Danio rerio: one gene and its partner. The protein of the gene in region 2 interacts with the protein of the main gene of each other region in a pairwise test. Links are inferred from orthologs where the notes say so. Each region holds a gene or a part of one and is shown on either strand. Other genes may lie near its edges. The genes, in order: psmc2 and psmd5.

Evidence for each region.
Region 1: the proteins of psmd5 (region 2) and psmc2 interact in binary tests that used the Homo sapiens proteins (3 or more experiments, as listed by UniProt). The link is inferred for Danio rerio from reciprocal best matches to the Homo sapiens genes PSMD5 and PSMC2.

What each region holds. Positions count from the first base shown.
Region 1 is NC_133179.1:15,512,756-15,515,994, reverse strand, and holds the end of psmc2 (26S proteasome regulatory subunit 7), read right to left. Parts: intron 1,750-3,239; coding exon 1,547-1,749; intron 1,180-1,546; coding exon 1,083-1,179; intron 984-1,082; coding exon 826-983; 3' UTR 727-825; downstream 1-726.
Region 2 is NC_133196.1:6,249,313-6,253,139, reverse strand, and holds part of psmd5 (26S proteasome non-ATPase regulatory subunit 5), read left to right. Parts: intron 1-3,042; coding exon 3,043-3,156; intron 3,157-3,827. UniProt on the Homo sapiens protein: Acts as a chaperone during the assembly of the 26S proteasome, specifically of the base subcomplex of the PA700/19S regulatory complex (RC).

The DNA of each region.
Region 1 (3,239 bases), on a different chromosome or scaffold from region 2:
ATGCTGCTTTTGATGTTATGATATACTTTAATCTGACGTTTCTGAGAAAAACAACTTCGTTTGCTGCCAGATATTGATTGTGCTTTTTCGCTTTAGGGTTTTACAGCCCCTTTAGTTCAATCGGTGACATTTTTTTTGGCTAATAGTTTATCTAGGTCACACCAGGGTTAGTTTGAACCTACTGTTTGTATTTATTTTCTTTGTGTGACTTCAAAAAACATTATTATCACAAAGTGTTCTTGGTTATTGATTATTGAAACAGCGCATTTCAAGCAGCAGACATCACATGAAGCGTTACATGAAGTCTCTGATGTTTGACGCAGACACTGCCTATGAAATGGTCACTCCGGGCACTCTTTGTGCTCATAAGGATTTTATAAATATATATATTTTATTCTGTACTAATATTTAGATGCTGTTTTATTGGGGGGTAATGAAGACCAAAGTTCAACAATCAGTTGCAACGGCAGTGTATTTTATTGTCTTTTTATGCATTTGTGAATTTAGGATATTTTTTATTGTATAATAAATGCAAATCACAACTCTAAATTATTAAATGTTTATTCCTTAAAAGTGCCTTCCAATTTATTTATATATTTTTAAATGGGTATAAAATAGCTTTCAATGCCAACTTACAAATTAGACCCTCTTTCACTTGCTAGTTTGTGTGTGAAAGACGTTTCTGAGGGAATATTTTTTCTTAAAAATAATACAGAGGACATCTAGTATGGATAATGTTTTTATTGGATACGTGACATCACAGAACGACAGGAATCTTTGAATTATATCAGGCAGAAAACAAACAGAAAAGCACATACAAGAGGTTTAGTTGTAAGTCATGTAGCGAGGGGTGGCGCTGAACTTGGCGTAAGACTTGATGACCTTATTCACGGCCTCCAGGAAGTCTTTCTCCGTGGCGATTTTTCTACGAGCTCTAATGGCGAACATTCCAGCCTCCGTGCACACGCTGCGAATCTCAGCACCTGAGGGGAGAAAAACACAGCAAGCAACGTGAACTTAAGCTGGAAACTTTAAGTCTTTGCAAGTATAATGTGCTTTCATGTTTGCTAGTAAGGACTAACCTGTGCTGTTAGGACAGAGTCGTGCAAGAAGCTCAAAGCGGATATCTCTCTCCACACTCATAGAGCGGGCATGAATCTTGAAGATGTGAGTACGTCCCTAAAAAAAACAAATCATTACATATTAATCAGAATGTGATGTTAAATGACAAGTAGCAGTAGTTTTTCCTTGTCACTATTGTAATTCTTCCACTGCTTACACTATAGACCATTTTGAGGGAGGTAAACGAATCAATAGTCCCAACATATTTCCATTTTCCTATTTTTAATTTCTATAGCTTCTGAGAATCCAAATAGAGCCACATAATGATAAATAATGTTATGATAGCGGTTTTACCCTCAAGTTATGATTGAATTGCCTCTTGTTATAGTTATGAAATAGTTTTATAACAAGCAGGAAATGTTTATGGGCCAGTGACATCGCCACATTGAAATGGCCTATTGTATTGGATTGGTTTAATACTTACTTCCAGGTCAGGCAGGCTGAACTCGATCTTTCTGTCCAGACGGCCGGGTCTCATCAGAGCAGGATCTAGGGTGTCTGGTCTGTTGGTGGCCATCAGGACTTTAATGTTCCCTCTGGGATCGAATCCGTCCAGCTGGTTGATCAGCTCCAGCATCGTTCTCTGCACTTCATTATCACCTCCAGCGCCATCATCAAAACGGGCACCTATTAGAGCAAAGCAATAGTGCAGTTATTAGGTGTCCAATTAAGGCTTCCCTATTATATAGTAGACAAAAGGTATGCTAATAAAGCAGTAGGCATAAAGTACCTGGATGAATGTTGGTAACTGTTTTAGATCCCATTTTTCCTCTGTTGTTTTTTTTCCTCGCCAAAATAATTATTTCTTGTATTTCTTCTATCAAACTAATAAGGTGTTTTGGTTTAAAGGAAGAAGTTTGGAACAACATGATTCAAGCAAATGACAGAATTATCTTTTTAGATGGACAAAAAACAAAACAATAACAATAAATTTAATAGAATTGTTTAAAATAACCCAATGTTATCTCATTTACCGCTACCTTCATTAGTTCACTAATATAGTCCACCTGAAGGAGTAAATGATGACCTTAGTGGTCGTTCCTTGCTGTTTATTATTTGAAACTAAGCAAACTGGAAGCAACTGTAATAATGCAACACTGTTTTAAAATTTAGTTCACATAATTCTAAATTATGCAATTTATTAATCCATTAACTGCCTGCTCAACAAAACGGTTGACCACATATTGACTGTTTTAAATTATGGCTGTTAAAGTCATTTAAAGAATGACTGTTTTAAATAATGTCTTACAGCATTGTTGGTTTATAAAAAAAATACCAAACAAACATAATCCTGTTGCACTTCTACACTTAATTTGGTTTTATTGTATAAAAAAGCATATTGAATGAGAATCTAAAATATTTGATGGCATACTTAAAAAATAAAGATGTAGTATTCAAAAATGTTTTATTTTGAATATTTTGAAATAAAGTGGTCTTACACTTCATATTTTCAGATTTTTTATATGTATTAATTCCAGTACTTTTACCATAAACCGACATTTCAATCATTTGGTAGAGGCTGATATTTTAGAAATTATAGGATGTTGAAAAAAAAAAAAACATTAAGTGTGTTAACTTGCAACATTAGGAGTTAAAAAAATGCTGGGTAAAAACATTTCTGGGTGGGGTAGTTAAAGGGTTCATGAATTCAAAATTTGTACAATTGTACAATTTGGTTGGAAAATGGATAGATGATTCAGCTTTGGGCACCATCTTCTGGTAATATGTGGGAATTCATTTGCCATGAGCCTATTTTAGATCATTGTGAGTGTTTTTTAACCACTCATAGCACATCAGCTGATGCATTATAGGATTGAACTTAGTCTCAGACACTGCTACAAATGTCACCTCAAATAGCGCCTTATTTAAGGGCACAGGGAGCAATTTCAGACACAGCCTACGATTGGATCTTTATTGCAGTGACTAATGCTCAGGGCTTGATTTATATTTAAAAACATATCTTGACAATTCAGTTTTCGAGATGTCTTAATTTTAAGGGGGTCTTACTGTGAAGTGCTCCGTTACTAGCACAAGATATTGTCTAAATATCTTATATTTAAATACAGCTAATATAACATGTAAGATAGTCACTATCTGACCCTGAGGTGTCAATCTAC
Region 2 (3,827 bases):
TATTAGCATGATTTTAGCATGAATTAGCATGATTCTAGTATGAATTAGCATGTTACTAGAATGATTCTAGCATGAATTAGCATGTTACTCGCATGATTCTAGCATGAATTAGCATGTTATTAGCATGATTATAGTATGAATTAGCATGTTACTAGCATGATTCTAGCGTGAATTAACATGTTATTAGCATGATTCTGACATTCATTAGCATGTTACTAGCATGATTCTAGTATGAATTAGCATGTTATTAGCATGATTCTAGTATGAATTAGCATGTTACTAGCATGATTCTAGTATGAATTAGCATGTCACATAGCATGCTTAGGTGGTTGCTAGGGTATTCTGAGTGGTTGCTAAGTCGTTGCTAGGCAGTTGCTAGGGTGTCCTGAGTGGTTGCTAGGTGGTTGCTAAGATGTTGCTAGGCGGTTGCTAGGCTGTTGCTAGGTGGTTGCTATGGTGTTCTGAGTGGTTGCTAGGTGGTTGCTAAGGCATTGCTTGGCGGTTGCTAGGGTGTTCTGAGTGGTTGCTAAGATGTTGCTAGGTGGTTGCTAGGGTGTTCTGAGTGGTTGCTAAGGTGTTGCTAGGCGGTTGCTAGGGTGTTCTAAGTGGTTGCTAGGTTGTTGCTAAGGTGTTGCTAGGTGGTTGCTAGGGTGTTCTGAGTGGTTGCTAGGTGGTTGCTAAGGTGTTGCTAGGTGGTTGCTAAGGAGTCCTAAGTGGTTGCTAAGCGGTTGCTAAGGTGTTGCTAGGTGGTTGCTAGGGTATTCTGAGTGGTTGCTAAGGCGTTGCTAGGCGGTTGCTAGGGTGTCCTGAGTGGTTGCTAGGTGGTTGCTAAGGTGTTGCTAGGTGGTTGCTAGGGTGTCCTGAGTGGTTGCTTGGTGGTTGCTAAGGCGTTGCTAGGCAGTTGCTAGGGTGTTCTGACTGGTTGCTAGGTGGTTGCTAAGGTGTTGCTAGGCGGTTGCTAAGGTGTCCCAAGTGGTTGCTGGGTGGTTGCTAAGGTGTTGCTAGGTGGTTGCTAGGGTATTCTGAGTGGTTGCTAAGGCGTTGCTAGGCGGTTGCTAGGGTGTCTTGAGTGGTCGCTAGGCCCTTACTAAGGCATTACTAGGCCGTTGCTAGGTGGTTGCTAGGCGGTTGCTAGGGTAATTTGGGTGGTTGCTAGGCAGTTGCTAGGGTACCCTGGTTGGTTACTAGGCAAGCCTCACATACATGCCTGATAAAACGTTTATACTTAGTAAGCATTTCTAGCAAGTTACAGTACTTGGCTAGTCAATATTAGCATGTAGCTAATCACTGCTAGCATGTGTAGCATTTAGGAAGTTCCGTTTGCTAGCATGAGTCAAACGAGCCAATCTCCAAGTCTCTACGATGTTCTGATGCTGAGATATAGCTGTTGATGAATGGTTGCTAGGGTACTCTGTTTTGTTGCTATGGGCGAGGTTACAGAGTGCACTTGATTGTGGTTTGCTGTCTAAGTCAAATGAACCAACCCCCATGTCTCTATGACACTGCTATGCAAAGATATGCATCTTGGCCTATTTTAATGGAAGTCTATGGAATCAATTTGGGGGCGTGGCTTGTGAGCTTCATTATCATATTGAGATGCTCATTGGTTGTCTGAGTCAGATGAGCCATCCCCCAAGTCAATAGGACACTGCTAAGCAAAGATATGCATGTAGGCCAGTTATTAACATGAGTCTAGTATGAATTAGCATGTTACTAGCATGATTCTTGAACAAATTAGCATGTCATTAGCATGTTTCCAGTATGAGTTAGCATGTCATTAGCATGATTAGCATATGAGTAGCATGTTGCTAGCATGATTGGCATGTCATTAGTATGTTAGAATTATAAGCATTTGATAGCACAGCTAATTACAGTCTATAGGCCAGTTGCTAGGGTGCAGTATGTGGTAGTTAGGGGTGTGGCTAGAAAGTTAAAAGCTCATCAGTTATTGGTAGTTTGGTAGTCTAAGTTAAATGAGCTCAGCCATTAGTCTGTAGGACAGTCTGATGCAGAGTTATGAGCTCACAAAGTTTGATCCCATGTTAAGTCAATGAGAGTCTTTTGTAATGGAAGTCTACGGGACAGTTGCTAGGGTGCAGTATGTGGTAGTTAGGGGTGTGGCTAGAAAGTTAAAAGCTCATCAGTTATTGGCAGATTGGTAGTTGGAGTTAAATGAGCTCAGCCATTAGTCTGTAGGACAGTCTGATGCAGAGTTATGAGCTCACAAAGTTTGATCCCATGTAAAGTCAATGAGTCTTTTTTAATGGAAGTCTACGGGACAGCTGCTAGGGTGCAGTATGTTGTAGTTAGGGGTGTGGCTAGAAAGGTAAAAGCTCATCAGTTATTGGCAGTTTGGTAGTCTGAGTTAAATGATCTCAGCCATTAGTCTGTAGGACAGTCTGATTCAGATTTATGAACTCACAAAGTTTGATCCCATGTTAAGTCAATGAGAGTCTTTTGAATTGAAGTCTATGGGACAGTTTCTAGGGTCCAAAATTGGTTGCTAGGGCGTGGCTAGAAAGTTTAAAGGTGATCAGTCATTGGCAGTTTGATAGTCTGAGTTAAATGAGCTCAGTTAGAGTTCTGTGCGACAGTCTGACGCAGAGTTACGAGGTAACAAAGTTTGGTCCAATGTTAAGTCTATGGGATTTTTCCGACAGTCCCGGGACGTTTTTCGGAAAACCGAAAGTTGGATCAGTCCGAGGAGATATGGCATACCGAGTCAGACCAGTTTGGAGGTCTGGTGTGAGTTTGGTGGTAATAGCTTGAAAGTTCAAGGAGTAGATAGAGTTTGAATTTTAGTCTCAGAAGAAGAATAATAATAAAATTAATAATAATAATAAGTTTAAATAGTAGAACAGTAGTCTGGCTTTGACAAGCCAGCCTAATAATAAGTTTACGTGAGATAACAGTATGTTGGCTTTTCAAGCCACCATAATGAGCTTAGTGCAACTATAAAGACATTTAAAAAACGCAGTCAGCACATTATAAGGAGAATCACAATGCATTACCTTTTTTTTTCATTTGTGTCTGTGTCCACAGATTGGCCGTGTGGCTGGACATGCTGAGGGAGTGACGCAGATGCTGAACAATGTAGAAATCCTGCATGACGTGATTCAGTGCATCAGTGTTGAACGCATCGCTGTGGCCAAAGAGGTACAGAGATAAACAATGACACACAATGGCACACTATGCCCTATGTACCTATGCACTAATATATGTATGTAGTATCGTCCCAAATGAAGCACTAATGATTTTTTACTTAGCGGAAATTCAAACCATTTCCCAGATGACGTTTGCTGGTTGCCAAATTAGTGAAATAACTGACCAAAGTACCAAATAATACCTGCCACAAGTATAACCCATATAGACTGTAAAATATATGGACGTAGTATCCGTGACGTCACCCATAGGTTTCTGAACATGCAAAAGAAGCCACAAGTAGGCGCGGCCAATCGTCGCCATTTTGTTCACGCGTCATCGCACCCACAGCGGGAAAACAAACAAGAGCAAAGAGGCGGAAAGTGAGCGGAGCTACAGACACCTGCTGGCATTTTGCTTGGACCTGGCTTAGACAGACATTTGGAAAACGCTTAATACTTTATTACCTGCGACTCGTTTATGTTCTGACCACTTGTGCTTGGCTGTACACTATATCAATAAAGTGTTCAGTCTTTTAAAAACACTGCTGTAACACATTGAGCCACTAAACATTGTTCTTATGACGTTTTTCTACAGGAGGAAAATGCTAATTACTTCTTACACTTACACAAATACACTTCAGATATAGTCTGTGTTAGTAAATGCAGGACTATTGATGAATTATA